Linked DNA regions of Sus scrofa. The protein of the gene in region 3 purifies or fractionates together with the protein of the main gene of each other region. This does not show direct contact. Links are inferred from orthologs where the notes say so. Each region holds a gene or a part of one and is shown on either strand. Other genes may lie near its edges.

Region 1 (8,002 bases), on a different chromosome or scaffold from region 3:
TTTGGGGTCGCCCAGAAAGGTGACCCAGAGCCACACGTTCTCCAACCAGGGCAGCTGGTTCTGCAGCGCCTCGGCCATCGCGATGCCCGCGCCCAGTGTGGACTCCATGACCACCCAGTGGCCGGCCCGGCCAGGGTTTGATCTAGGGCGGAAGCGGAGGAGTCCAGGAGACAAGGAAACTGCTACTCACTGCGCTCCAAAGCCCACCCTTCGGAGTCGAGGCCACGCCCCCGGCAGCTGCCAGCGAAACCCCGCCCCTGCCCCGCCCCCGGCAGCCCCGGCTTGCCCCAGCCCGGCCTCCTGCCGGTACCGTTTCCTTCTGCGCTCTTCCCGGGCCTTCCTTTCTACTGGGCAGCGCAGGGGACAAATCTTTGCGAAGGCGTTTCCGCAGATCCCCACGTGGCTGCTGTTGCCGGCACGTGGGCATCAGCGTAAGAGGCCACTGCCGCTGCTGTTCCGGGTCAAGGGACAGACTAACCTGAGGGTCGGTGACGCGCCCAGGGTCCTTCCTTTGCTGCTGTGAGGATGGATATGTAATTTTTAGGGCCAGGATCCTTCCAGACCAAACCTTTCTCCTCCGCTACCGCTACCCTCCAAAGATATTTGGAGATCTTCTGGAGATCGAGCTAGGCATCTCCGGTGGGCGCTGAAGTGGGAGGCTGAGTTGGCACACACTGCTGGCTAATCGGTTCAAGCCTCCACTGCTTGAATTCAAACGCTGTTGATTTAGAGGCTGACAGATAAGCCTCTTGATCTTGAGAAGTTGTCCCTAAAGGCTTACACATAGCAGTCTAAGTCACACTTCCTCCCAGTTCTAAGCTTGCCTTGCTCCTCTCCTTTTGTCATTTTGCTTTCCAAAACCCCGCTGGGCAGATAAACCATGAGATAGTAGCTAGCTTGGTAAGGGAAGAGGAGGGGCACACACCCACGACAAAAATTGGAATAATCCTCTGAAGGAGCACACACAGAAAATAGAAATCTCAGCTATTCCAGGCGAGGTCTTGCCTAAAGGCAGAGGTGAGGTGGGAGGAGACTGCTGAAGTGGTTCCTTCCTACCTCAAGCAACTTTGTTCTTGGAGAGTGTTTTGTTTTGTTTTTTAAGGGTGAAGATGAAAATGTAAATCCGGGTTTTTCTTGGAAAGATTAATTTCACTAATTAAAACGGTGTGGGGAAGGGAAGCTAGATAAAAAAAATCTCATTTCACTCCTTTGCTAAATGTTTTTCAATTGCCCCAAAGGAAAAAAAAATTCAATTTCCTAAGTCTTTGAAAGTTTGCTTGGGCTCTAGCCACACAAATTTTACCAGCCCAGTCTCACACTGTTTCCTGATATTTCTGAGCTGCCTGATATCACCAAGCTCTCTTCTCTCAGGGGTCCTGGCATCTGCAGTTCCCTCTGCCTGGAACATGGCCACGCTCTTTCGCCGCTTATCCTTCAGGTCTCAGATTTTTTACTTCTTCCAGGAATCTTTTTCTAACAGTGCCTGGCAACCATTTATGAAAATCAACAATGACAACATTGCATAAAAAGTGGAGTGGCAGTTATTTATGACTTATGGGGGAGACATGAAGATTCTCTGAAAAACGCAAGGATGAGGGATTTGAATGTTTATTTCTATTAAAATGATTATACTAATATTGACCCAACATTAGGAAGTTGATGGCTCTTGCAAGGCAAGGAAAAATTTTTGAACTTTGTTCAGGTTAAGAAGTGTCAGGTCTGGCCCTTTGTGTCCCTCCCTCTGCCTGTTGTTATTTAGACGTGAGGCTCCAGAATTTCTATAGTGGAGGGGTAGATGGGTTAGGGATGGTAATTTGCAATAGTAGGGCTTGAAAATGCATCTGCATGGTACTTACACGTTAGGAAAATTGTTTTTGATCTTAGATAGTCATTAATAGGGAGCCCCAAACTCCTGCTCCATGGCTACAGTTGTCCCTACCACTGCTCCTCACTCTTTGCTTGGTTTTCTGGAGGAGGGGACAAGACCGGAGATGGGGAAGAATTTTGAGTTCCAAGGGTGAGGGGTGATGGCAGAGATACTACCATTTACTAAGGACCTACTACATGCCATGCATTTGTACTCGTTATTTTTTTTATCTTCCACTCCTCCCAAAGTCTCTATGAGGTATTGTCTAATATAGCATAGCAGTAAATAGCACTCTCTTTGGAAACAGGTAGATGGAATCTTTGCTAGTTGTGCGACCTTGGAAAAAGTTTAGCCTAAGACTTAGTTTCTTCATCTATAAAATGAGAATATTGACTTCTACATCGAAGGGTTGTTGGGTGCTCAATAGCGACAATACATACGGAGTAAAGAAACAGGATCAGGTTTAATAATTTGCTCAAGGTCATATAACTCAGTGGAATACTGATTCCAGTTTAGCCAATTCGACAGCCAAAGTCCTTTCCACTACCACTTTATAACTAGGTATAATCGTTTTGAGCAAGTTTTGATGAGTTTTCTGGGACTTCGATTCCTCATATGTAAAATACAGAGTTCATTCATTAAACTCTTGCGTCTAGGCGTGAACGTAATGAAGATTGCAGTTCCCTCCTCCTTCCTTTTTTTATTCTACATAGGTCATTTATCTTTAACTTCTAAAATGGACCCTGCAAACACTTCACCAAGTGGGCGCAGCTGCACAAACATAATTATTTAGATTCCTCTTTATTTCCTCGTCTACCCTCTTCCACCTAGGATCCCGCCCCACCCAACCCAGGCCACGCCCTGGCGTGTGACGTCAGCACGCCTCGTGCGTCGCGGCGCGGCGCTCACTGGGGGCCCGGCTTTCGCCCGCTGCTGCCGCCGCTGCCGCCGGCCGCGGCTGCTCTCCCAAGATGGCGGCTCCTCCGGGCGAGTACTTCAGCGTTGGGAGCCAGGTGTCGTGCCGGACGTGCCAGGAGCAGCGGCTGCAGGGCGAGGTGGTAGCCTTCGACTACCAGTCCAAAATGCTGGCTTTAAGTATCCTTCCCTGCGCGGAGCCCAAGGCCGGGCCGGCGTGTATGTGCGGTGGTGGTGGGGGGGCGGGGGACGACAGCGGTGGCTGGGGCCTCTCCGGGCCTAGGGGCGACCGGCTACCGCGGCGCTCGGAGCGCATGCGCGCGGCCCTGAGCTCCCCTCCCCCTCTCGCGGGTCCCTCGGTCCGCGGTGGGGACCCTGTCCCCCACGCGTTGTGGGAGCTGGGCCCCGTACGAGGGTGGGTGGGTGGAGGGGGCTTGACACGCGGGTGGCTTTTCGGGACGAACGCTAGGAGAGAGGACACAGTGATTAGAAGAGGGGTGGTCGTGGGAGGGGGCTGGGGAATGGAGCCCGGATGGAGGCGGGGAGGGTAAAATCCTGTGGGGACGGGGTGTGCAGAGTAAGGAACTGCTAGTGGGACAAGGGTATGGAGTTTAGGTGGTTTGTCTGCTGATGGGATTTCGTCCAAGAAAGGGCGGTGGGGTAGTGACCAAATGGGTCTCTCCTTTTTGGGGGGAGAGTAAGTGCAGGATAGGAGTTTGTATCTGAACTGGGGATGGGGCTTGTTTTCCTGGTGCTTGTGTGTGTGCTTGTGGTGCCAGTGGGGGCGGGGAGTGCTGAATTTTGGGCTTCTCAGTCATATGGAAATTGCTATTTTGGGGATGTTTGTGTTGGAAACCTGGTGCAGAGAGAGGACCACGTTTTTCGGGGGCTTATGTATCGATGTATGGGTTACAGGTGAAAGAGTAAGTTATATTCTCTTGCTCAGCCCAGCGCATGGAATCCTGATTTTCCATAGTAGTAGCCTTCCCTTTGGAAAGTGGCAGTGTTAGAATGGAAAAAGTAGCCTCTTCGGGGTGGAAATGATTTCTGAATTACTCCAGGAAAGTCATTCTTGGAAACAAAATACTTCCTGGTTGTAATAAATGTGCCACCCCTTCCCCTCTTATTTGAGCCACAGGTGGGTTTATTTGGCTTTTTTTTTTCTTGGAGTAATTTTTTAATGGCACCTTTCAAAAGGAAGTTTCTTTCTGAGTCAGTTGCTTTTGAGTGGCAAGTGTTTTAATTTATTTAACCACTAGTCCTAGATTTCTAGCTTAGGAAGATGTCCTTTGAAACTAATTACAGCAAGAATAGTTTTGTTTTTGTTTTTGCTTTTTTTTAGGGCTGTACCCAACAGCATATGAAAGTTCTCAGCCTAGGGGTCTAATTGGAGCTACAGCAGCTGGCCTTCTTCACAGCCACAGCAACGTGGGATCCAAGTGGTGTCTGCGACCTACACCACAGTTCATGGCATTGCCAGACCCCTGACGCACTGAGCGAGACCAGTGATCAAACCCATATCCTCATGGATACTAGTTGGATTGTTTCTTCTGCACCACAATGGGAACTACTTTGTTGTGTTTTTTAAATACAAGAATACATACCTGGATTAAAGACCATTTACATTACTGGTTTAATTGGAGGGGTTTTGGAATGAGAAATTACTCAGCTTTTAATTGATATACAGTATGCTCTTAAATGGTCAGAGAATGAGTGAGTGAGTGAATGAATGGATGGGTTAACTAGCTGGGTCACCTTGAGTGAGCTTCCTTTCCAGTGCTGTAGTTTTTTCCTGCAAAATGGGAAATCTCAAATCTGAAAAAGTGAAAAGAGCACTGTTCAGATATAGGAAGGATACCAAGAACAGAAAGTACTTGCTCTCCTGTGTGGTTCATTAGGTTCAAGGCAAACAGTATACTTACAGCATTAAAACTACGTCAAGCCTCTGCATAAAACCAGCAGAGAGAAGGTGACAGAAACCCTGTTGAGGCTTCCAATTTTGGATTGTGTTTTCCTTTGAAAAGCTTGAGATCCCTTGGTCGTGGGGTTGATCGGGAGGAAGGTGACAGGCAGAGATTTCCTGAGGAGAGCTGATTCTCCTGAGGCCACCCTCTTGCTTGTGGCATACCTTTTACACAAGTCATGTGTGAATTGTGTTTTCCATGTCCCTTTGGAATGTGTTAGTGCTCTGCTTCCCCCAATTTTCCTTAACTTTATTTTCTCACCAGAATGTCCCTCTTCCAGTGGAAAGCCCAACCACGCAGACATCTTGCTCATAAACTTACAGTATGTTTCAGAAGTGGAAATAATTAATGACCGAACAGAAACCCCTCCTCCCCTAGCTTCACTCAATGTTAGTAAGGTAAGGACTTGAGGGCAGTTCTGGCTCTCCAAAATGATGGGAAATTTGAGTCTCATTGAGTCTTGGTGGCACATACATTGTCCATTGTTTTTTCATTTTTTTCACTAATTTACAATTGCTTGTATTTTCGGAAAAATATAGCAGTTTAGTTTTTCTGTTTATTCCTGGATATCTTCAGATTTTAAGAAATGTCTTAATGCCCAAATGGGGAAATAGAGTTGAGAGCTGGCTTTTGTCCTTTGGGAGAGGGCTTGTTTTTACTTCTTAACCTGGAGTCCATATGCATGAACTTGATGTTGGTGGGGTGTTGCTTCTCAACCTCCTGAAATTGTGTGTTTGTGCACAAGTGAGTTTATGTGTTTCCTGGGTGAAGATCTGAAGTATTTTTCAGGTTCTCAGGAATTCATGACCTACAAAGATTTGAAAACCACTGCACTAGAGCTTCATTTTTGTTTTTATGTTTGAACTTTGAGGTCTAACAAAGTTAGAGGTTTAGGGAGTTCTCTTGTGTGGAAAGGATTAAGGATCCAGCATTGTCACTGCTGTGGCTTGGGTTCACTGCTGTGGTTCCCATCCCTGGTCTGGGAACATCCACGTGCTGCAGGCACTGCCAAAAAAAAAAAATTTAGAGGTTTAGGATATTCTAATCTTGGAAATCCAGATTGATTTTGGGGAGCCCTCAAATAACTTTTCTCATTCTTCATTTCTGTTAGCCAAGTATGGGGGAGTACTTGGAATCCTCTTTCAGAATAACTGGAGCTGTATCTATCAGGGACTCAGTTTAATGTCACCTCTTCCAAGAAGTCTTTTCTGATCAGCCAGGCTAAAGTGATTTGCCTCCATTATTCTCTCTTATAGTATCTTATCCTTGAAAGATAAGGTGACATGTTTATAGTCTAATCTGGGACATTTTTGAGAGTAAAGGGTGAGGGGTACTTTTGTTGTACACTGAGACAAGCATGTATTGGTGTGTCCTGGGAAAATTGGGACTTAAGGTTATCCTATTCATAGCCTTTTTGTAATCATAATTGTATATTATTTGTTTTCTTTTCTTTTTTTGGTCTCTTTGCCTTTTCTAGGGCCGCTCCCTTGGCATATGGAATTCCCAGGTTAGGGATCTAATTGGCGCTGTAGCCACCGGCCTACACCATAGCTCACAGCAAGACCAGGTCATTAACCTGCTGAACAAGGCCAGGGATTGAACCCGCAACCTCATGGTTCCCCAGTCGGATTCATTAACCACTGTGCGATGGGAGCTCCCATTTGTTTACTTTTCTATCTCACTAAACTTTGTTTTGTAGGGATGGGAATATTCTTACTTTGTTCATCACTGAATATACAGAGCCTTGCACAGAGTAGGTGCTTCATAAATATTTGTTGAATGACTGATTTAGACATTCATCTTTTGTAGCAGCTACCTTTTCTTAAGTATTTTAAATTTAGTGTGGTGGAAGTTTTTCCCTCTGTGGGTTTTGTAATAATGTATAATCTCTTGCTTCTCTTGGGAATTTGATATGTTTGCGACAATTCAGCAAATCGAGGAAACAGGCAGCTGGAAATACAGAGGGTGACTGAGGCTGGCAGTATGTAGTTACCTCAGATCTGGAGCACCCTATTTTCTAAATTCCAGGGAAACACCAGTGTTTTTCAGTGATGTTTGAAGATAGATTTAGAAGGGTCTTGGGGGAGTGCCCGTCGTGGCTCAGTGGAAATGAATCTGACTAGTATCCATGCAGACGAGAGTTCCATCCCTCCCCTTGCTCAGTGGGTTCAGGATCTGTCGTTGCCGTGAACTGTGGTGTAGGTCGCAGAAGAGGCTTGGATCCTGCGTTGCTGTGGGGTAGGCCGGCAGCTGAAGCTCTGATTTGACCCCTAGCCTGGGAACGTCCATGGGCCGCCAGTGCGGCCCGAAAAAAAAAAAAAAGAAGGAAGGGTCTTGGGTTTCATATTAAAGGCTGTTGCATAGAGAGTATCCCATTCTTAGAACTGTAGATTGTTTTGAAATCCTGGCTTGATCCCCCTGTTAAAGTATAGGAGATTTTGCTTTTTTTAGGGCCACACCTGCAACATAGGGGTCGAATCGGAGCTACAGCTGCTGGCCTACACCACAGCCACAGCAGTGCAGGATCTGAGCCCAGTCTGTGACCTCACCACAGCTCTCAGCAACGTCCGATCCTTAGCACACAGGGCAAGGCCAGGGATTGAACCTGCGTCATTATGGATACTAGTTGGGGTCTTTACCCACTGAGCTACAACAGGAACTCCCTAAAGTAAGAGATCTTTTAACAATCTTCTATTAGCAGAAGAAATTTTCAAAGGTTCAAGTAAAATAGTTTATGCTTGGTATGTTGAGGGTAAAAGTAGGCTCTAAGTTATCCTTTAGTGTTTGTGGGGTATGAGAAGGTTGTCACTAAATAACTGAACCTTTAGTGAGTAGTTGAGGGAAGATTATCTGAGAGAGGGATGGTTTTCTCAAATTTAAAAGATCTAGATCTGCTCTCGTGACCACCGAGTACCATCGTTTCTCTGAGGGAAGGGCTGGAGTAGTGTGGGTGGGACTGTTAAGTGGAAGCTGTTAAGAAGCAATTCTGGGAGTTCCCATCATGGTGCAGCGGTAAACGAATGTGGCTAGGAACCATGAAGCTTTGGGTTCGATCCCTGGCCTCGCTCAGTGGGTTAAGGATCCGGCGTTGCTGTGCGCTGTGGTGTAGGTTGCAGATGTGGCTCGGATCTGATGTTGCTGTGGCTGTGGCATAGGCTGACGGCAACAGCTCCAATTAGACTCCTAGCTTGGGAACCTCCATATGCCATGGGTGCGGCCCTAGAAAAGAGGGGAAAAAAAAGAAAAAGAAAAAGCA
Region 2 (7,342 bases), on a different chromosome or scaffold from region 3:
CTGAAGTTAATAGGCACACTTAAAGGGTGTCCAGTTCTTTTCCCTGCATTTTCAGTCAAACTTCATTCCACTAGAAAATTTACATTTGAAATGGTTAGTGCACATAAAATTGTCTTTACAACTCTCAATATGCTCTAAATGGTGAAACTTTTGAGATTTTTCAGAAGTAGCTAGTAATTATTCGACTGTCTTCCTGGGTGTTATTACAGATAATCAGCTACAAAATAGAATACTGGCCTTGCCGTACCTGGTTTTGTTTTTTGTATTTTTCTTTGACTAGATAGATATTCAGGAAATATTGAGTAATTACCTCAGATTACAAATCAGAATTCTGTGTTAATGAAGAAAATTAATTTGCCAAGTACTGATTGTCTTTTTCTACCCATCTGAAGATCCAGTAAGTGACTTCTGGATTTTCTTTTGACATGCTTGATTTCCTATTGGATTTGCATTTGGAATCTTGGTACTTGATTTCAGAGAGTTGGCTATGTTTATTTTAAATTAGCTGATAGTCAAAAGTTACAGCAGTTAATTCTTATTAGCACACCTTTAATTTAGTATAGTGCCAGGTATTGTGCAAAGCACTTAATATTTACTCTCATCTCTAATCTTCACAAGCACCCTGTGAGAATGTTTACTATTATTATTCCTTTTTAAGATTAGTAAATAGAGGTCTAGAGTACGTCACCCAAGGTCAGACAGCCATATAAATAAAGTAGTAGGCCTGGGCGTTCAGTTCCTACAGTTGGACACTCATGCAAATCTGTAGGTTTCTTTATAGCCTTTGGGGGGGCGCGGAGTGTATCTCTATTTACATTAGAAAAGAAGAGTGCTATGTCTAAGTTATATTACGTTAGATTCTAGCCTCTCGTCCAGGAAAAAATTTTTTTTTTGTTTTTGTTTTTTTTCCTTTCAATTGTAAGGGACTGAATTGTATTTGCCAACACACCCCTTTATTAAAACAAAAAAAAATTTAACATTTATAATTTAAATCTTAAAAAAACTTTCAGAACTCCTTAAGCTATATTAGAATGGATTCATGATTTTTCCACTTGATTTAATAAACCCTTCAAAATTTTGCTGCTTTGGTGTAGTATCCATTTCCTTAACATGAAATAGATTAATAAACATGTATAGATTAATAGAATAATTAAATCTAATTCTAAGATATTGGTAGGCATTAATTTAGAAGTAGGTAAGTTAATTTGGTAAATTTCTTTTTTTTTTTTTTTTTTTTTTCTTTTCTTGCTTTTTAGAGCCATACTTGTGGCATATGGAGGTTCCCAGGCCAGGGGTCTAATCAGAGCTTCAGCTGCCGCCCTACACGACAGCTCACAGCAACGCCAGATCCTTAACCCACTGAGTGAGGCCAGGGATTGAACCCGCAACCTCTTGGTTCCTAGTTGGATTTGTTTCCGCTGTGCCATGACGGGAACTCCTAACGTGGTAAATTTCTTAAAAATTAATTAGTTCATTTAAGTAGCTTGTATTCAGTTGAAGTATATATTATGTTTTTATTTGCTTTTGTTGACTTGATTTGTTGGTTTCATTTTTACTTCGTATTCTGTTTGATCTTCATTTGTGGGACTTGTCATGTGAGCACATGTTCTGATTTTGTGGAATTAATTTTAGGCCCTAAAGTAGTATGTGATATCTTAGTTATTTTACCTTAATGGAACAAATAATTTTCATGATATTGAGCCTAAAAAATTCTAAGTGCACAGCTGGCTTAGTTGGTGTTTTTTTAATTTTAAATCCTTAAAAGATGATGAAGTACTTTCTGTAGTTATTTTTGTTTCAATAATCTGTTTTTAAAAGAATTTGAATCAGTCAGGCAGAGTTCTTTTTCCTGAATTGAATGAGTTGAGATTTTCCTGAGATTTTTATGAAAGATGTACATTTGCTATTTTTTATTAATTTCTGAAACATAGTATCTTTGTCACACTTTGTTAGAGACCATATATTCTTTAATTCTGTTTTACATTCATACTGAAGTAAGTTGTGCTTTTAGGCCCTTTCTCCCATTCCCCCGCCTTAGTTGAAATTTCTAAATAACTGACCTTTTTTAGGCATCACATTTTTGGTCAAATTACTATGTAATGTTAAATTCCAGATACAGAGAGCAACAGTCTCAGTGCTGTAATTTAGGCTCTATGTCAAGCGTAGAACATTCTCCTCCTACATGTTATGGATTAGAGACCTAAAAGTGGAATTTGATTTTAAATGAACCAATAGTTATTGAACATCCATGTTTAATGGCACTGTGCTTGGTTCTTTACTTGGTGTAGCAACAGATTAAGATATTGTCCTTAAGGAATAAATACATATAATTAATTTTAAAACTTGGGGAGTTCCCGTTGTGGCTCAGCGGTTTAACGAATCTAACTAGTATCCATGACACAGGTTTGTTCCCTGGCCTCAGGGTTAAGAATTCAGCATTTCCATGAGCAGACACGGCTCAGATCCTGGATGGCCATGGTGTAGGCCAGCGGCTACAGCTCTGATTTGACCCCTAGCCTGGGAACCTCCATATGCTGTGGGTGCAGCCCTAAAAAGACCAAAAAAATAAAATAAAGCTTGGGAGAGTTAAACACTAAAAATTTTTTTCTTAAACTAGCAAAATTCTGCATGGGAAGGAACTTCCATTTTGAGGGAAATGGGGAAATCTACATGGAAGAAAAAACAGGATTTTTACAGACAGGCAAATCTGTTGTACTGCTTAGGATGGAAGATAATATATCTTGGTTTACAGTGGGTGAAATTATTTATAATAAATTATTTTTGAAAGAAACATAGTTCTTTGTTCTTGTAAATTATAATATCCCAGTTATATAAGTGATGAAAGAATTTTAGCTACTGCCTGGACTGAGGAACTCAGATTCTATCAGCCATAAAGACAGACTGAAATTGCTAGCTTAAGGACACATTCTTCATATTCCTCCTGGGTGTTTTGAGCATCCTTTGAAGGTGCATATATTTTGTCTCTTCCTGGACCATAAGTATTTGGGCAGTAGACAGCCCGAAGAGGTTGGAAATACTGAAAATGCCAGTGTATTAATAAGGAAAAGGTAATAGTAGATGCAAATGTCATTTTGTTTTTAGCATAGTTACCTTATATGTTGCTTAATTTAGCAGTTAGCAGAAACCTTTGGAGAGTACCTTAAAATGATCTCTTATTTCTCTTGCCACCCCTACGAAGCAGTTAAGAAACGTTGGGTCAGTCCTTAAATAAATGCACACTTCTCCTGTAAAGAAGAGTAGGACTTCTTTGACTGTTTGAGATGCTATGTACCCATTCCTGTCATGTTTTTTACGTGCATTTTAACTTCAAGGTAGTATTTTTAGGCACCAGAATATGCTAAATTGTATATTCTGAAGTATCAAAATAGTGATTTTTTAAAGTAATTATTTATCGGGTGGGGTTTAGAAGATACTGCTGAGCAGTATTTAAGAGCAGCAAACTAGATAATGAGAACATATGTGTCATATATTGTTTTTTGAAGATAAAATGGCTTCTTTTTAACATGTATAAAAATACATGTATATGTATGTGGAGTGGCTTATCTTGCATTTTTGTGATTTTTGTAGCAATACTTTTTATGCTGTCTCAATGTGAGTGTAACTTTTTGGAAAAAAATATAGTTGTAAAAAGCAGTTTATTATGAGTTACATAGTCTTCAGTGGGAAAACAAAACTTACCCTACAGTCCTAGATTGGTACAGAATATCTTTATGAAAATTTGTTTCACATATGTAGAGCACTACGTTAAAAATACCCAAAACTAAAATTACCATTATGCCTGCTAGTGACTTGTTGGTTGTTGCTTTAGTTGGTTTTTCTCCTGTGGAATGTGTTTCTTTAAAATATGTTTTTTCCCTTTTATTTTAGCCGAGAGTGGAAACTAAACCAGAAGTTCAGTCTCAGCCACCTCGTGTGCGAGAACAACGACCTAGAGAAAGACCTGGTTTCCCTCCTAGGGGACCAAGACCAGGTGAGTCAGCCCCTCTGTAGCCTTCAGCACTTAGCACTTGGAAGCTGGAGAAGACGGAACTTTAAAAAGTTTTTAAAAAAAAAACAAAAACAAAACAATGTGTCTTATGTGCAAATCCTTCTAGTACCAAATTGCCTAAAGGCTTAAGTAACTTGCTAAATATAGTCTGGGCAAAACAACTAACTTTTAGGGGTGAATTAGCTGACCTCCCTTGGAGACTCATACTTCGCAGGTATAAAAGAATTTTGAGACACATTTTATTTGGTTATTGTCACTGGTTCCAAGAATTCAAAACCGTGCTGCCAATAACCTATTCTCTTACTTAGCACTTTTCTCTTCACAGATAAACAATAAGCACACCCTGATTCTTCTTATTTTGATTGTCTTAGGTATTAAGTAAGTTGCCGTGATTTTTGACTTGTTTCCATTGTTAGCTGATATGTCTAGAACCTCTCTTTGGATTCTATAAGTATGTTTAGATTGCTTTTGGGAGGAGGTGGGAGATAGTATACATCAAATTTAGAATATATAATTTTTTTCCCACAAAAGTAAAATAAGCGGTGTTATTAAAACCAGAAGTCATGAGAGCTGGAGTTTGTCCTAGCTTTGTCACTGATTGAGTTTATGATACTGGGTAAGACCCTTAAATACTGAGCTTCTCTCATACCATTCAGTTAATACACAGATTTTTCCTTGTGATGCCTTTTTTTATATGCTTCACTATGGTTCTTGTGTTTCTGGGAGAACGAAATTAGATTTTGTGTGTATACGAGCACCCTAATGTGTATGAAAGGCCCTATCAATGAGATATTACTACTATTAAATTTAATGAGTTTGCTGTAATTTCACACAACCAAAGATTAATTTGTGGATTTTAAAATAATAAATATTTAGTACAAATGTACCTCACACTATCTGAGTTCCTGGGTGATGGCAAAAGTTTGGCTAAAGAGGAATGCTTGTACTGCTAATATTTGACTTCCATATAATCAGACCAGTAAATCTAGAAGAAGGGACTTTAGCAATCTAGTCAATACCCTCACTTCACTTTAATGTCATGTTTTCTAACTAACCTACTAATACTAGACACCTCCACCTCCGTTCAAGAAGCTCACTATCTTGTTTAACTAAAACAGGAAACCAAGTTGTTTTTTTATTTTTTTTTTTTATCATTCATTGCTTTGAACTAGTTTTTATATGATATTGTAAACTTTAATATCGGCTCCATATCTTTTCTCAGGCAGAGGAGATATCGAACAGAATGAGTCTGACAACCGTAGAATAATTCGATACCCAGATAGTCATCAACTCTTTGTTGGTAACTTGCCACATGACATTGATGAAAATGAACTGAAAGAGTTCTTCATGAGTAAGTGGTTTAGTTTGCTTTATTGTAATATTAAGCAGGAGAGAGAGCTTGTTTTCAAAATGTAATTAGGATTAAAAAACAAAAACAAAAAAAAACCATTTACCTCTCTATATACTGTGTTTGTCTCTAGGTACCAGTCACCTTTCATTGAGCAGAAGGGAGTAGTAGAAGGTTATGTAAGATGTTTCCCAGTGACTATACTTAGTGTTAACTGACCTGGTTCTGTAGAGGTTAGAAGAGAGAGTGGGATGAATCAGTCTTCAATTTGGAAGTGGAATTTATTTGGTGAATACAAGTCAGAAATAGAAAATGACATTGTATGTCTAATATGTAGGTAACTTTTCTTTTGAAGGGACTAATAAAGATGCAGAAGAGTAACAAAACAGCCTAGTTGTTGGCGTCTTTGGTGAATGACCTATAAGAGTAACTACCTCAACTGTCACTGGGTTGTAGCAGCTTGCAGCTTTATGTTGAAATGGATTAAGTAGATTAAGGTATTTCATCTTGAATAATTAAAGTCTCAACGTATTCTGTTAAAATATTTAACCCTTGGTGTAATGTATATTTTCACAGGTTTTGGAAACGTTGTAGAACTTCGCATCAATACCAAAGGTGTTGGGGGAAAGCTTCCAAATTTTGGTTTTGTGGTTTTTGATGACTCTGAACCAGTTCAGAGAATCTTAATTGCAAAAGTAAGTAACTTTAAGGGCATAATTCAAGACTTTATTATTCCTATTGTATTTAGTATTAATTTGATACATTTTAAAACCAGAGAAAGTCTGGTTAAAGCTAAAATGGTTTTCCCATGGAATGGTATTTATGCAAAGCACAAAGATTTGTTAGTAGTTTTAAAGTCTGAGGTATGGATTATTTCAAGTTTCATTATTTGCTCTGGTAAAGCTTTGAATAGATTACATATTAAGAATTTCATCAAAGATTTTTTTGTCTCTTAGGATTTTCTTCCTTATGTTTGGGTTTGATAATACATTACTATTAATATCTCACCTGCCCATGTAAATTTTTTTTCTTCCTTTTTAAAGCCAATTATGTTTCGAGGGGAAGTACGTTTAAATGTGGAAGAGAAAAAGACAAGAGCTGCCAGAGAGCGAGAAACCCGAGGTGGTGGCGATGATCGCAGGGATATTAGGCGCAATGATCGCGGTCCTGGAGGTCCCCGTGGAGTAGTGGGCGGTGGAATGATGAGGGACCGGGATGGAAGAGGACCCCCTCCAAGAGGTGGCATGGCACAGAAACTTGGCTCTGGAAGAGGAACCGGGCAGATGGAAGGCCGCTTCACAGGACAGCGTCGCTGAAGCTCCACTGTTGGCAAAGTCTTGGCAGTGGTACATTATTCATCGTGTTTGCATTCTTGTTAATTTTTTTTGGCTTTGGAATGTGACACAGCCTTTTTGATCATTTCTTTGATGTGAAAAGCATCTTTGGTTATCAGTTAAATTGAGGTGGACATTATTTCCCCAATTTTACAGCAGGATTCGCATTGTTAATTTATAAATCTAGACTTGGAGAATTAAGGACTGAGAAATGACCATATCTTAAACTGTCTACAACAAAATGAACTTAAGAGGACACGCCCAACTGAATTCAGGTCCTTTGAGTCAAAAAAAACCCCCTCTGCTGCACATTTTGTTTAAGTGTTACTGTTTCTACCTGTTAATGTTGGAAACACAAATAGTGCAATTTGTGCAATTGGAGAATCTTGCCTTTTTTCTTGGCTCCCCCCAAAAATACAAACCAACAGAAACTTGTTATGCACTCATCAAAATGCACTAATGGGTACTCTGAACTCATTAACATTGACATCTGCAACAGGAGGCAACAGGGGAAAAAAATCTTTCATCTTTTTTTCCAGTAGAGCGTAGTTTGTGAAATGATGAGGGCATTTTATCTGCTTGCTGTGACCAGCGTGTGTACACATAAACCTTAACAAGACTACAAGTATATTCCAGAAGGAAATCATTTAG
Region 3 (7,878 bases):
TCAGTGGGTTAAGGATCTGGCGTTGCTATGAGCTGTGGTGTAGGTCCAGACGTGGCTCAGATCCTGCGTTGCTGTGGCTGTGGTGCAGGCCAGCCACTGTGGCTCTGATTGGACCCCTAGCCTGGGAACTTCCATGGTGTGGGTGTGGCCCTATAAGCAAAATAAATAAAAGAAGGATGTAATCTGGAGTTCCTGCTGTGGCACGGCGGGTTAAGAATCCACTGCAACAGCCACTGGAGTTGCAGTGGAGGCCTGGGTTCGATCCCCAGCCCGGCACAGTGGATTTGGTGTTGCTGAAAACTGCTGTGTAGGTTGCAGCTGTGGCTCAGATTAATTCCTTGGCCTGGGAACTTCCATATGCCATAAGTAAGGCCATTAAAAAATAAATTAAAGGCCATTAATAAATAAATTAACCCCAAAACCAAGGACCCTTCATTTTCCCCTGCCCCTCACAGGTGACCATTTTTATGAGTTTTCGCTTTATCCTTCTTGTGTTTTTCTTTGCAAGAATTTACAGATACATTTCTGTTTTCCTATTCCCCCTTCGTCCTTGCACAAAAGGTAACACAGTTTATACTCTTGAACTTGCTTTCTTCATTTAACAATATATCTGGAAATCACTCCTTAGCAAATCAAAGTAATGTAATTTCTAAGTTGCATATAATAAGACAACATTTCATTCATTTATTAATTTATTGAGCGACTGTGTGCCAGCCACTGAGCTATACAAGAAGGTTAGGGAAATGAGTAAAATATAGTCCCTGACTTTATTGACCTCAGGCTCCAAGGGAAAGGGAAGCCATACAAAAAACAAACAAATAAAAAAAAAAACAGAAAACATGGAGTTCCTGACGTGGCTCAGCAGTAACAAACCCAACTAGTATCCATGAGGACACAGGTTTGATCCCTAGCTTTGATCAGTGGGTTAAGGAGCCAGAATTGCTGTGAGCTGTGGTGTAATTTGCAGATGTGACTTGAATTCTGAGTTGCTGTGGCTATGGTATAGGCCAGCAGCTGCAGCTCTGATTCAACCCCTAGCCTGGGAACCTCCATGTGCCATGGGTGTGGCCCTAAAAAGACTTAAAAAGAAAAAAAAAAAAAAAAAAACCCAGAAATAAACTATCACAGTGCTCTGGGAGCCCGAAGTAGGAAGTCAATAACAAGAAGTTCCAAAGGCCTGACACCTGAGCTTGAACAATGAGGATTAAGTGAAGAAATAGCACGTATAAAGGCAGAGTTGAATAAAGTCAAGGTATGTTGTATAAATGAGAGTTTAACGAGGCTGAAACTTAGCAGAGTTTGGGAGCAGGATGAGGTGGGCGAGACAGAAGTGCCCATAATGAGGCCAGCTGGAGAGGTGGCATAGCATCAGGTGGTATAGGTCATGTCAGGAAAAAACTGGACTGTGTTATTTAGTTAAGTCTTTTTAGGGTCGCACCCACAGCATATGGAGGTTCCCAGGCTAGGGGTCCAATTGGAGCTTAGCCTCTGGCCTACACCACAGCCACAGCAACGCCAGATCCCAGCTATATCTGTGACCTACACCACAGCTTATGGCAATGCGGATCCTTAACCCACTGAGCGAGGCCAGGGATCAAACCTTTGTCCTCATGGATGCTAGCCAGATTCGTTTCTGCTGAGCCAAGACAGGAACTCCTGGACTGTGTTATTTAGACATCCAGGAGACATAGTCCTGGATCCATTCACCTCACAGGTATTTAATTGACTGCCTGCATGGTGCTAGGTCTTGCAGAAGGAGCTGTGAATAAGAGCAAGATTCCAATTGTTAGGAGCTGACACCAGCAGGAAGACAGAATGAAAACCACTCATAGAATGAAGCTGGGAAAATTGCTGGGCAAACACACAGGAAGGGAACCTAACACTCTCAAAGCTAGGAGTCAGGCGGGATGAAGGAACACTACCCAAGAGCAAGGCAGACTTTGAGTGAAGTGTGTGCCTGTTTAGGGGAGAAATGAAAGCTGCAAGAGTCCCAATGCTGATGTCTGGAGTGAAGAGAGAGAAAGACACTGGAAGTTTATCTGGGATTGAAACCACAGACTCATCACTCCTCCACTCTATTTTCCACACTGCAAAGGGTAATCTTTTAAAAATTGAACCGGTTCTATCCCCGGCCCAGTACAGTGGATTAAGGATATGGCGTTGCCTCAGCTGTGGCGTAGGCTGCAGCTGTGGCTAGGATTTGATCCCATATGCTGCAGGTGTGGCCGTTAAAAAAAAAATAAAGTTCATTAAAAAAATGTAAATCTGGGAGTTCTTGTGATTCAACAGGTTAAAAATCCAACTAGTGGGAGTTCCCATCTTGGCTCAGCAGTTAACAAACCCGACTAGTATCCATGAGGATGCTGGTTCAATCCCCGGCCTCACTCAGTGGGTTAGAGAACTTGGCATTGCTGCAAGCAGTGTTGTAGCTCACAGATGTGGCTCTGGCCTGGTGTTGCTGTGGCCACTGCTTTGAGGATTATGCTCATGTCTCCTTAATATCTGGTCCCACGTTACTTAATTTTCCAGTTTCCTTTTTCAACCTCCTCCCTCTTTAATTTCATACTCCAGACATGCTGAAGTTTTCCTAACTTGTCACATCCTATGCCCCCTGCCTAGAAACCCATCACCCAGTGCTGAATTAGATGTCATTCCTATCTACTCTTAGTGCCCCGTGCTTCACCTAAGAGATCTAATTGTCTGAATCTACCACTAGTTTAAACTCCTTGACAAGGGCAGGAAGTAATTTCATTACAGTTATATCGAAAACACCTAGCCTAATGTCCTAATGACCAACTAATTTGAATGAATGAAGGCTACCTTCCTTGTCGAGTGGGGTGGAGGATTTTGAACTAGACTCTAGGAACTTTGGCCTTCAGACAGTCTCTTTGCTGCTAGTTTAAGAGTCCCGTTCCAGGGCGTGGAGAAATTACTATATTGAAAACCATATAATATAATTTAGAATTAGGCAGATATTTATCTCCAAACTGCTATCTTTAACGCCTATCAGGCTTTTATGTAAATCAGATAAGCTCCGAGAGTAGCTCCCCACGAAACTACCACCAGCTTCAGCGAAGTCCCGGGTCTACTCTCGGGATTTTTTTTTTTTTGCACTCAAGACTCCGCCCACAGGCCCCCGAATGGCGGAAGAACTGCACGCTACGTCGTGACTTCTCACAAGACTGCGGAGGCATCCCGACGCTACGCCGGCGGCGTAGGCGGGGCGGCCGGCTCTTCCTTCCTCTCTGCTGCTTCGGCTCCTCCCCCAGCGCTTCACACGCTCATTGTGAAGCGACAGCGGCCGGCAGTCTTCTGGGCTGCTTGAGATCTAGAGACCCTAAATCCTTGGCGCGCGTGAGCGCCCGCGCTGCTCCTCTCCCACTCCAAAGGCTAGAGGCGCGAGATTCACCTTTCTTTATTCCCTCCTCTGTCGCCCGGAGCTAACCGCCCCGGTGCGCTCGGACATCTCGCGCCGACGCTCCCTCCTCCCCGCCCCTCCCCCTTCGGGAGCTCCCGCCCGGGCGCTCCTCCCCCTCCCTTTTCCCCGGCGACGCGCACGCGCGCCAAGCCGGCTCGCGCCCTCTCGCTTTCCTCCGGCCCGCGAGACCCCCTCCCCTTCCGCCTCGCGGCGCTTCCTCGCGCCGCGGTCTTCTCTATCCACCCCCGACACCGCGGGGCTCGCCCCCGCCCGCCAACGGCGGGTCCCCAGCTTCCCAGTCCACCTCGCTTCCCGCGCTCTCCGGCGGGGCCCCAGCCCCGGCCTCCTCTCTCCCTCCCTTCCCCCTAATTCCCTTTCCGGACGCTGCCATCATGTTGAAGCCTCAGCCGCCACAACAGACCTCCCAGCCCCAGCAGCCGCCCCCCACGCAACAGGCCGTGGCCCGACGGCCTCCTGGGGGCACCAGCCCTCCCAACGGCGGCCTCCCGGGGCCCCTGGCCTCCACCTCGGCTCCCCCAGGGCCTCCCGCGGCCGCTTCCCCCTGCCTAGGGCCTGCAGCCGCTGCCGGGAGCGGACTCCGCCGGGGAACCGAGGGCATCTTGGCGCCACAGCCGCCGCCGCCGCAGCAGCAACATCAGGAGAGGCCAGGGGCAGCGGCCATCGGCAGCGCCAGGTGAGAACGTGTGGGTTTCCGGGCGCCGGAGCCAAGGTGGCCGAGACCTGTACACCGCGCGAGGCAGACCTCTAGCCTCTGGCCACCTTTGAGGGACGCCAGGGGGAGTGGGGAAATCCCGTGGAGCTGGGGGTGGGCCCTTCAGGTTCTAACAGGTCGGAGGAAAGCCTCCGCGGCTAGCCACCGGGACATTGAGGGTGCGCGCTCAGCTCTGAGCGACCAGTCACTGCTCGGGGCTTGGGCCTTAAGGGCAGGCAGGGCGCATCCCGCCAGCGGCGTCGGAACGAGTTGGGGGGGTGAAGAGGTGATAGGGGTCCCCGGCTCCATTACCACGAAGGGTCTCGCGGTCCGGAGCTTCAGCCAATGGGGAGTCAGCTGCGGGAAGGGGTCCCTGGCCGTAGCCAATGGAGGGGGGCGCGCGGCCCACAGTTTGGCCAATGGGGAGGGAGGGACTTGGGAGCGAGTTGCTACCTCCCCCTTCCCAGTCCGGCCAGTAGGAATGGAGCAGAGTGGGCGGGGGGGACGGAAGGAGGGACAAAACTGGGAGGACTGCGGGCCGGGAACCTCCAGCGCGCGCGCGCGCGCTTCCCGTACGTGCGCGCGGATGCTCAGTCTTATGACCCGGCCATTCTCGAGCCCCGGGTAACATAGAGGGCAGCTGCCGGGAGTGTGCTTGGACGGGTTCGCCGGGTGTTCTTGGATGAGTGGTGGACACCCCACTGTGTTTCTTCTGTTTGTGGGTTTATAGAATTGAGAGTGGAGGTACACGCAGGCGCAGTGGGTTGTGATCGCGGGAGGGGGGATTTTGAAGAGGCCCTAGGGCTTTAGTGCGCAGGCGCAGACCGGGCGAGGCCTCCCGGTGGAGAGCTTTTGCGGCTGCGCTGTCCCCCAGCCCCGCCAACGGCCCCCTGATCGTCCTCTTCAACCGACGGTTACATCAGCCAGCGAGGAGCAGGGTTACCAGGCGATTGGTGACCCCTTCCAGAGTGGGTAATAGGCTGAATGAGTAAAGAGATCGAGAGGGTGGATTGTAGAGGGAGTACCCCTCCTGCCAGGGTTTAGGGCGCAAGGCTACGGGAAATGATGGTCTTTTCTGTTGGGGAGGTAATAAATGCATGCCTGATCTAGGTACTCACTCTGTGAGCTTCTATCTTTACATCTGGGGTGGGCTGTTAGTTATCAAATATTATAGCATTTGTCTGTTGGAAGCATGCAGCCCTGGCCCTCTTGGAGAAAGTGAAAAGGTTGTGTTGAATTGGCTTTTGACAACCCTTGATGACTGAGGTCTGTTTTGCTGGCAATTGGAGGAAATGGCTTTTAATGTCCTTCTTGCTCTGAAGGTGAGATCTTGAAAGTAGTGTTGATTAATTGGTTTGTAGCCTAAGTGATTATCTTTACATGATATATGGTTCTAACATACCAGGTCCTTTGAAATCAATGGTACAAAAAGGATTGAGCATGAAATAACTAGCTCCTTGTTTCCTTTTCTTATAGAGGACAAAGCACAGGAAAGGGACCCCCACAGTCACCGGTGAGTGCCTTCTCCCCCTCACCCAAGGCACAGAGACCTAAAAGATGCACGGATGGGGATGTAGGGCAGATAAGGTGCAACAATAGTCAGATTGGTTGGGAATAGCAGGGGGCCCAGCACATATAAGGTGGATATTAGTGGACTGTGGGCATTTAGAAGGAAGGTGAGATGTTGACTGGCTGTTCCTTTATTTGTCTCTCCTTTGTTACTGACAGGTGTTTGAGGGTGTCTACAACAATTCCAGAATGCTGCATTTCCTTACAGCTGTTGTGGTAAGTGGGTACCTAAACTCTTAGGAATGTAATGCATCCGTTTGCTGGAGGCACTCGTCCTTATTTTCCCGCTCTTTCAGGGCTCTACTTGTGATGTAAAGGTGAAGAATGGTACCACCTATGAAGGTATCTTCAAGACACTGAGCTCAAAGGTCAGTGTACTCAAACTGGCTTATTTTTGGAGAGCACGCCAATGCTAACCACTAGACCACCTGGGAGTGTTGAGTTAGTTTCTTTTTAGAGTTGGCATGGGAGGAAGTGGAGGAGAGTGAAATAGGCTCATTGAAGATGTAAAATGAGTGGGGTTGGCCAACTTTGTGCCTGTTGCAGAATAGTGCTACATGGAATTAAAAGGCATGGGTTCAAGGAGTTCCCGGGTGGCCTAACAGTTAAGGATCTGGCATTGTCACTGCAGTGGCAAGAGTTCGATCCTTGGCCCAGGAACTTCCAGATGCTGCAGGCATGGCCAAAAAAAAAGGGTTTGAAATTTGGGGGTGGTGTCTTTTTAGGGTCACACCTGCAGCACTTGGAAGTTCCCAGGCCAGGTGTCATATCTGAGCTATAGCTGTTGGCCACAGCAATGCCAGATCGGAGCCTCATCTTCCACCTACACCACAACTCACAGCAACGCCGGATCCTTAACCCACTGAGGGAGGCCAGGGACAAACCCCTGTCCTCATGGGTATTGGTTGGGTTCATTACCACTGAGCCACAGTGGGAACTCTGAGGGCTGGTATTCTTGGATATTAAAATGCTCAAATTTTTAAAATGTGACTTTGTAAAGATTTTTGCTGAATAAGTTCCATGGCTGATGTCGAGAAGACAGTTCCTGTGAGAAGGTGTGTGGGGGAAAGTTTAAAAAGGATAAGATAAAAGTAGTCCTATTTTTGCCTTTACATTTCTTGATACTGACTCATGTGTGTTGGTGAATGGAACTTTTATAGTTTGAACTGGCAGTAGACGCTGTGCACCGGAAAGCATCTGAGCCAGCAGGTGGCCCTCGTCGGGAAGACATTGTGGACACCATGGTGTTTAAGCCAAGTGATGTCATGCTTGTCCACTTCCGAAATGTCGACTTCAATTATGCTACTAAAGGTATTTATTGGACCAGACTGTTAGGTCAGATCCATTTCTTGGGTAAAGAGCAGAGAACAGTTACACGGTGAATCTTCTCCCTGTTCCTCTGTATCCCCTTCCTTTATTTCTCAGGAAGATGGCTAGGGTTTCTTCTCGAGGGTGTGTCTTGACGTTTTAAGATACAGTGGAGTGAATTCCAGCCTGTGTTGTGGTTCTTTGTACTTCCCTTGCCTTGTTTGCAGACCACCTCCCAGACTCTTGACACATACAAACTTTTTGCTCGGATGGGGAGGTGTGGGGGGTGTTGGAGGAAAGGCTATGAAATATCACCTGACTCTTGATCTTCAATCTGCTCCAACAGACAAGTTCACTGATTCAGCCATTGCCATGAATTCCAAGGTGAATGGGGAGCACAAAGAGAAGGTGCTTCAGCGCTGGGAGGGGGGCGACAGCAACAGCGATGACTACGACCTCGAGTCTGACATGGTACAGTCTTCTTCCCCCAGAGCCTGAGAGCTGGGACGCTCTGCTGCCAGAATGTGGGTGGTTGTCAGTGACATTATCCTTAGAACCCACAGTGAATGGGGTGGGCCAGGGGAAGCATCCTTTACTTTTCCCTATGGATTCCAGTTGGATTCCAATGGAAAGGGACAGAAGACAGCAAAAATACCTGTTCTTCCACCATCTGTGACCGTCAACTATTAACATGTGCTTTAGGTCGATTTTTTTCTAGTCTTAATAAGGGCAGGTATGGATGAGATTGAGTACTGTGTAGGCCCATCTCCCTCCCACAAAACAAGGGCCTTGAGTCCTTTAAAATTCGTCATTAGAAGTTTCACTACATTACCATATCTAAATTTTCTTTCTTGCTTGTTTTGAATTTTTC
Region 4 (7,873 bases), on a different chromosome or scaffold from region 3:
AGACACTGCAGGCAATGCTGGACCTTTAACCTGCTGTGCCAGGAGAGAACTCCTATCTTGCTCTCCTTCAAAATGCTACATAATATTCTATATTGTCGGCATGTCACTGATTAATCTGTTTGCAAACTGATAAGCAACTACATTTTCAGTTTCTAAATATCCTAACAAAGCTGACAGTGCGTATAATGAACACTCTAGAAATGTGTCTATTTTGCAAGAAGGGTGGTATAGACAATTTTATCTTTTTTTTTTTAGGGCTGCACCTGTGGCATATGGAGGTTCCCAGGATAGGGGTCAAATTGAGGCTGTAGCTGTGGCCTACACCACAGCCATGGCAACACCAGATCCAAGCCTCGTCTGCGACCTACATAACTCAAGGTACCACTAGATTCTTTACTCACTGATTGAGGCCAAGGATTGAACCTGCGTCCTCATGAATGCTAGTCAGATTCATTTCCGATGAGCCATGACTCGAACGCCCACATACACAATTTTAACAGATTGCCAAAGAGCCTTACAAAAACAGCTATATCATTTAAAATTCCCTCCAAATGTGATTAAGAATAGCCCAATCACAGGCTGCCTGGGTTAAATAACCTCATCTGTGAATTCCAAGATTCACAGCCAGTCTGCTCTGATTAGCAGTTCAGTTTGTAAAGTTGTCTTGAAAACTGCGAATGTCAGAGTTCCTGTTGTGGTGCAGCAGAAACGAATCCAACTAGTATCTCTAAGGATGTGGGTTCGATCCCTGGCCTTGCTCAGTGAGGAGCCTGCATTGCCATGAGCTGTGGTGCAGGTCGCAGACATGGCTCGGATCTGGTGTTGCTGCGGCTGTGCTGTAGGTCAGCAGCTATAGCTCTGATTTGACCCCTAGCCTGGGAACTTCCATATGCTGGGGGGGGGGGCCTAAAAAAAAAAAAAAAACCTGCAAATGTCCTCGTCCACCTTTTAAGAAATCTTTCACGGGCTCCTCATCTCCCTCCGAGTAAAGTCCAAATTCCTTAGTAAGGCTAACGAGATCCTGGAGGTTCCTTAAATCAGAAAACCTGTGGCGGATCCTCTCCTCTGAGCCGAGATCCCTTCCTTGCCCCCAAAGTCCCATATGCCCCTTCCCCAGTTTCCCCGAGCTCGCGGAGGAGCTTCCAGGCCCTGGTTTGTTCAATGGGTGGCAGCAAGCAGGGTCAGCAGCATCTTGATCATCCCTGACCCCAGCCCCTGGAGTTCATTAAGTGCTGAATGAGAGAGGCTGATGCAGGAGTGGGGCTTGGGGGGCGGGGGGCAGAGGGACGCTCCCATTTAGCTTCTGGGGCTGCACCCCGACCCCACCAGGCTGCCTCCCCTGTCCTTTCGCCCCCAGCAGAGGCTCCACGTGCATTATTTCCAAATTTACAAAATTTTGAGACCCTCCCCAGGACCACGTGCCTGCAAAGGAGACTCAAACGAGGCGTGTCTCTGTATTTCCATGTGAAATGCTCAGGGTGACCAATAGAGGGCCTAACAAAAGGCTAGAAGACGTGGACAGGACCGGGCTGGAGCGTCACTTAGCCTCTGGTGTTTTAGGGACGCTTTGGGGTGTCCATAGGAGTTTGACAAACTACCTTTTCAAGATGTAACGACTACAAGAAATAAGGCCCCACACCTAGGGCAACTGGAAATGGGAATGACAATGGTGGTGACGCACAGGATGTTACAGGAAGGGCCAAGCTGCCGGGAGAATGAACAAACTCTTGTTCCTCGGTCAACACCCACTAGCCGACCTGCAGCAGCACTTGCCCAGAAGGGCAGAGTAGAAACGAGTGTCCTCAAAGTCAACAGTTTTCACGTGCGACCTTTTTACAAGCCCTTAGGTACACAACGGGAGTTACCTTCTCCTCTGGCTTTCCTTGAACGGTTGTCCAGTAATAGTGCTGACTAATGCTGAGAACCAGCAAGTGCCCTTAGGCGGCCGCGTGGAAATAAAAAAGTTGGCATAAGAGGAAAAAAATAAAATAAAGCAACGGGAAACTTCACCATCTGGTTCGGCTGGTACCAAATTGTGCGGGAAAAGCGGGAGAAGGGGGCCTCAGGGACCGCACCCAACAAGTGAAGAAAGGAAAGGGAAAAGGACAGAAGCCGGGGCCAAGAAAGCCTCAGAACCTCCCCAGAAGGCAAGGCGGCCCCCGGGGCTCAGCCTCCTCGGTACCGTTCAACCCCGGCGTCAATCACCTCTTTTCCGCGCTGCGATTGGGCCGGGGCCCCCCAGCCACCCTGGCGCCCACCTCCTAGTTGCTTGGGGTTTACTTCCCCAAAGTACAAGGGCCCCACCTTGTGGATCAACCGCTCCTGCATGGAAAACGGATCTCCGCCCAGGGGAAGACGTTTTAACGAATGGGAACGGCTGCACGCACTTATTGGCTACCGTGGATATCGGTCAAAGAAGTTCCCAGCCCCTTCCCCACCGTACCTTTCCGTTATTGGTCTCTCTCAGTGCCAATCCGTCACTAGGGAAACGAGATCCTTACAGGCTCATAGGCAAAAGTCAAAGCCAATCAAGAGCCACGCCTTCATCCTGAGTCAGTACCCAATTGCTGCGCGAAGAGCTCAGAGGACGCCGTCGGGATTGGCCACTAGCCTGCCCGACTTGGCCGCAACAAGTTAGTCTGAGTCTCGGTTATATAGCCCGGCGACGGAGCACGCGTGTGTGCGGACGCAGTTGCGTGAAGGGTATTTGCCTTTTGCCTTGCGGTGGAGCAGAGCTTGTTCCTCTCCCGTTCAGCCGTGCAGGTACGGCAGGGTGTGGGCGGGGCTGGACCGGTAGGAGGGCGAGCTGGGGCAGAGGTGAGAGGGAGACGTCCGAACGGCGACTGTGCGAGCTCCCCCTCCCCACCTCCGCCCCAACGGCCGCAGGCGCGCGCGGCAGGCGCACGGGCGCGCAGGAGCTCTCCGCCCCCCGCCCCCACCGGCCGGCGCGCGTGGCCGTGTCCGCGTTCGCGGCGTGCGCGTGCCGCGCCCAACGGCCACGCGGGGCGAGAGCGAGCCGCAGCCGCCGCCCGAGCCCCAGAGTGCTCTCGAGGGCCTGGGGCCCCGCGCGGCGAGCTCGCCAGCTTTTCCCGCCCGCACCCCCACGCGCCATCCGAGTCCTTTCCTGGCTGTAGCTCCAGCTTAATCCCAGACCAGAGAAGGCTTTTATGGGGGGGGGGGGGCACGAAAGTGCGATGAGAATTTCTGGACTCGGGAAGCAGAAGTGCTGCCCCCCAAGCTTTTACAGCGAGTGAAGGGTAAGCAGCGACTTCGTGGATGTCGAATGATGATAGTACTAACTACTCATCTTCTAAGCCCTCCCTCTGTGCCAGGCACAGTCGTGCGCACCTTGTGTGTTTCCCCTTTAGTCCCGCAATGTCCCGATGAGGTAGGTACCATGATTTTCTAATGTTTACAGCGGATTCGAAGGCCCAGCGGTGGAGTGACACGGTCGAACACAGATCGTTAGGGACAGGAATTTGAACGCAGGCCACCTGACTCCTCGTCCCCCAAGTCTATTGTAGTCTTTGTTGCAGCGCCGTGTGCGGCTCCAGGGCACCTTTGCCCCCAGAGCACTAGTCCCTGGGGACAGTACCAGCCTCGGAAGGTCGACTGCAGCGGCATTTGTAGTTGGGCCAGTTGTGGGCTTCCAGGGAGACAAGGGTTGGGCGTGGGTCTGTGACCAAGGAAGAGAAAGGGTTTGGGCCTCCTTGCGACAGGTTTTCCTACAGGTGGCTGACGGACGTGCTGCCTTAAAAGCTTCTGGGGAAACGACAGAATAAAATGACTAAGTGCAACTGAACCTGGACAGTGTGCTGTCAGATTTGAAACGTAGTAGGCTGACGATGGGAAATTCCCACCAGCAGGAAGTTAGGCCTTGATATCTTGAATCTTTGCTTCATTTTTTAATTGGGGCAGACTTTCGAGAAAGACCTTGGAGAAGATTGTTTGACTTCCTCGTTTTATAGTCGAGGAAAATGAGGTTGCACTTTGAGGCGTTTCAGATCTAGCCAGCATGTGTAAGTTAAAATTTGAAATTGGAATGGAAACCTTGGTGCCCAGTTAGAGTATACATTTGACCTCTGTGGAGCCTAAGCTCGGTGCGTTAGGGGTGATAGCTCTTGGAATTGGAAATCTTACCCTTAAGGCGGTTGGGATCTTCTGTGGATGAAAGTCTGTCTATTTAGCATTGTTGCATGTGCTCCTGTTACATGCAAATGTAGAAGGTACCTTCAAAGACTTGTGTTTAAGTATTTCTAGTAGAGTTATATTTCTTTAGGCTAGTGTATTAAGGTAAAAGTAATAAATGTTCCTGTGTTGCAGGTTCGAATCATTACTTTGCATCACAAATGGCTACTTGAGCTAAAGCTGCAATAAAACTGGGGGGGCTAGCTTTTCTGAATACTTTTTATTGGGGTGGCTTTCAATTTTTTTTCTCTTTATTGTAAAGAAATTTATTCTGTGTGTGCAGACACTTTTTAGGATTAGTTTTTAAGATTTTTTTTTTGCAGCCAGAGGAAACATAATTTTTAGATCCTTGTAGGAAATTAAAAAGCTAAGAGGAAGCTTATTATTTTTAAGTATTTCCATTTAACAAGTAATTTCCATATTTCTTAAAAGAAAGTAACAGTAGGATAAAGGACCAAAATATTATAAAGACAAGTTCTTTGTTGGGGTTGTCATGAATAACAGGTAGCTTTAGATTATAACATTGTTTTCCTTGGAGCTTGCCTTCCTGTAGCAATTCCAGTTACCTGCATTTAGACACCAGTTAACTATTGAATTAGCATTTTAAGTTACTAAATGTTATAACATTGTGATGACATACATTGAACTGTTAGGTTTGAGTTCAGCTAGTTATTTCTGGAGGCAAAATATGTCAGAAAGTTCTTTATGCATTAATTGAGGGAAATTTTTGATAGTTTCCCATTCAGATGTTTAAAAAAATACTGTTTTTGACTTTGGGCAAATGGTTATCAGTTGGGCAGGAATATGAAAACTGGTAATTCACAGATGGATAGGCCAGTTGACCTCTTGTGCATTCATTTGTCAGGAACGAATGAATTGAAGCAGATTGTGATTAATATAAAATTTGTCTACCTTCCTGCCTCCCAGCCAAGCTAGAGGTTTTATTGCTAAATCCTTTGAATTTGAGCTTTTGTACCTCTTCTGACTGGTAGAAAAGTAGGCAATTCTTTGTTCTTTATTTAACTCACTCTGCTTTGCTGTTCTCAGCTGACAGTGTGCTAAGGGAACATCAGGAGATTTGGTAATGTTTGTTGGTGACCTACTTTGCAGTTTTTTTTGTGATTTTATTGGTTTTAGCACTTTGCATAGAAGTAAAAGGCAGAGGTTAGTTTTACGTTTTTATAGGTTCATGAATCGAATATGGTTCTTAGGATGGATGGAATAGTGTTAAAAGATGAAATTTGGTATAAAGCCTGAATGTGTGACCTAAACCAATTTTTCTTTTTGTTGGTTTAATAAAATTACCCGCTTGATAATTCAACATTTTGCAGTGGAATTTGTTTTTTTAAAATATTTTGGAATTCAAGAATGTATATTCATTTAATTGTGCTTTAAGCCCGCCTTGTGCAGAATTAACTGACTTTACAAAGGGAGCTGATGGTTAAAGTAGGTAGATAAGGAAACACCCCCCTCACTCCCCCAGTCAGTTTTTAATAGCTAGTGGGAAGAGCCTTTAGTGTAGTACTTGTCCTTCCAGTCACGGAGATAAATTTAGGCCCAGCAACTGTGATCTCATTTACAGTTGGTGATGACACTGTGGTGGTTGACTAGATTTATATTAAGTTAAAAACTCAGCTTTCTGTTTGTTTTTTCTCGTATTCCTGGACACCCTGTCTGGCCTTGGTCGGGAAAGCTGACTTGCAATCAGGACGATAGAGTGAAGCCGTAGAAATGATGTGCACAGGAAAAGTGGGAGAGTAGGGGCTTTACAAAGCCGAAAGCAGTCAGAGGCTCTCTTGTGGGCTCAGGCCTTTGCAAATAAAATCAGGTCTTTAGATTACTTTAGGTGATAGATTTCCACTTCCCTCTGGCCAGTCCGTTCTGTCATATTGCTTGACTGTTCTGTATTTCAGGTATTTAATATAACGTAAATATGAGAGATGGTTCAGAGAGAAAAGCTGGCTTTCTGGATGGGACACACTTCAGCTTAGTATCTGGGATGTCTTCCTTGGTGGCTGCTTAATTAACATTTTGTGTTTGTATATAGCCTTTTATGAATTTTTATTTTATTTTTATTTTTAGGGCCGCAGCTGTGGCATATGGAAGTTCCCCGGCTAGGGGTAGAATTGGAGCTACAGCTGCTGGGCTATACCACAGCTACAGCAGCGCAGGATCCAAGCTGCGTCTGTGACCTACACCACAGCTCATGGCAATGATGGATCCTTTAACCCACTGAGTAAGGCCAGGGATTGAACCCGTGTCCTCATGGGTACTAGTCGGGCTCGTTACCACTGAGGCCTGACAGGAACTCCTGCCTTTTATGTGTGTTTTTAAAGTGCTTTTACACATCTTAGGTATTTTAATCTTTTATTTATAAGAACCGAAGCTCTAAAACTCAAATACTTGTCTAAACTATTGGGTAAAATGCATGATGTACCTAGTGGAGAACTTAGGTATGTACTGAATATTTCCCTACTCAAAAACCTTGAAGGTTTCAGAATCTTGGAAGGCATGAGTTATACTTACCGTCCCTTTTGGGTTTTCTTAGACACTGCCCCAACTATTACCTTCCATGTTGGTGGACTGTCTTGAGCTTGCCCTCGTTGTTTCGTGGCATGTATACATTTCCGCTTTATGAGATCTGAAGTTCCCATCTTGGTGCAGCGGAAACGAATCCCACTAGGAACCACGAGGTTGTGTGTTTGGTCCCTGGCCTCGCTCAGTGGGTTAAGGTTCTGGCGTTGCCTTGAGCTGCAGTGTAGGTTGCAGATGTGGCTTGGATCTTGCGTGGCTGTAGCTGTGGTGTAGGCTGGTGGCTACAACTCTGATTGGACCCCAAGCCTGGGAACCTCCATATGCTGCTGGTGTGGCCCTAAAAACACACACACAAAAAATGTTTAGGCTTTATGAGATCTAAAGCGTAGGAAATCCATGTCTTTTTTTCTTTTTTTTGCTTTTGTAGGGCCACACCTCGGCATGTGGAAGTTCCCAGGCTAGGGTTTAGCTGGCCTATGCCACAGCCACAGCCATGCCAGATCTGAGCTGTGTCTGTGGCCTCCACCACAGCTCGTAGCGATGCTGGATCCTTAATCCACTGAGCGAGGCCAGGGATCAAACCTGCATCCTCATGTATACTACTTGGGTTTGTAATCTGCTGAGCCACAACGGTAACTTCTGTAGTTAATATTGCAAAAGGATGATTGTTGACATTTAAGATTTTGGCCCAAATTCATTTTTTTTTTTTTCTTTTTTTTCTAGCACTCATGGCACGTGGAAGTTCCTGGGCCTGGCATCAATGCTGGATCCTTAATCTGCTGAGCCACCAGGGAACTCCAAAACTTTTTTTTAAAAAACAGCTTTGTTGAGGTGTAATTGACATAAAATAACATACAACTGTTTCGAGTGTACAATCTGATAGCTTTTGGCATTGTTTATACTCATGAAACCTAACACCAACCAAGATAGTGAAAATAATCACCCCCAAAAGTTTTCTAATGCTTCTCTGCATTCCTTCTTTGCTGTCCACACCCTCCTCTTCTGCCCCCAGAAATCCCTTCTCTTGCTTTCTGTCACTGAGGATAAGTTTACATTTTCTTGAATTTTTATGTAAGTAGACTCATAATGTGCTGTTTTTTTTTTTTTTTTTTAAATTGCTGAGTAGTACTGATTGTTCTTTTCTTTTTTT

The links.
Region 1: the proteins of ATXN2L (region 3) and LSM12 purify together in Homo sapiens (affinity purification with mass spectrometry; 4 studies listed by BioGRID and IntAct, with this or other methods). This does not show direct contact. The link is inferred for Sus scrofa from reciprocal best matches to the Homo sapiens genes ATXN2L and LSM12.
Region 2: the proteins of ATXN2L (region 3) and G3BP2 purify together in Homo sapiens (affinity purification with mass spectrometry; 4 studies listed by BioGRID and IntAct, counting the BioPlex papers as one, with this or other methods). This does not show direct contact. The link is inferred for Sus scrofa from reciprocal best matches to the Homo sapiens genes ATXN2L and G3BP2.
Region 4: the proteins of ATXN2L (region 3) and G3BP1 purify together in Homo sapiens (affinity purification with mass spectrometry; 4 studies listed by BioGRID and IntAct, with this or other methods). This does not show direct contact. The link is inferred for Sus scrofa from reciprocal best matches to the Homo sapiens genes ATXN2L and G3BP1.

What each region holds. Positions count from the first base shown.
Region 1 is NC_010454.4:19,125,880-19,133,881, forward strand, and holds the start of LSM12 (protein LSM12 homolog), read left to right. Parts: upstream 1-2,750; 5' UTR 2,751-2,838; coding exon 2,839-2,962; intron 2,963-5,010; coding exon 5,011-5,144; intron 5,145-8,002. Other genes in the region: G6PC3 (glucose-6-phosphatase 3), read right to left, coding at 1-108. UniProt on the Homo sapiens protein: Nicotinic acid adenine dinucleotide phosphate (NAADP) binding protein. Confers NAADP sensitivity to the two pore channel complex (TPCs) by acting as TPC accessory protein necessary for NAADP-evoked Ca(2+) release.
Region 2 is NC_010450.4:71,275,219-71,282,560, reverse strand, and holds part of G3BP2 (ras GTPase-activating protein-binding protein 2), read left to right. Parts: intron 1-3,888; coding exon 3,889-3,991; intron 3,992-5,231; coding exon 5,232-5,360; intron 5,361-5,933; coding exon 5,934-6,052; intron 6,053-6,400; coding exon 6,401-6,673; 3' UTR 6,674-7,342.
Region 3 is NC_010445.4:18,502,815-18,510,692, forward strand, and holds the start of ATXN2L (ataxin-2-like protein), read left to right. Parts: upstream 1-3,277; 5' UTR 3,278-3,810; coding exon 3,811-4,112; intron 4,113-4,739; exon of another isoform or gene 4,740-5,452; intron 5,453-5,606; coding exon 5,607-5,643; intron 5,644-5,858; coding exon 5,859-5,915; intron 5,916-5,995; coding exon 5,996-6,067; intron 6,068-6,859; coding exon 6,860-7,010; intron 7,011-7,353; coding exon 7,354-7,478; intron 7,479-7,878. UniProt on the Homo sapiens protein: Involved in the regulation of stress granule and P-body formation.
Region 4 is NC_010458.4:71,270,844-71,278,716, reverse strand, and holds the start of G3BP1 (ras GTPase-activating protein-binding protein 1), read left to right. Parts: upstream 1-2,632; 5' UTR 2,633-2,650; coding exon of another isoform or gene 2,651-3,112; exon of another isoform or gene 3,113-3,257; intron 3,258-7,873. Other genes in the region: uncharacterized protein LOC100514500, read right to left, coding at 2,651-3,112. UniProt on the Homo sapiens protein: Protein involved in various processes, such as stress granule formation and innate immunity. Plays an essential role in stress granule formation.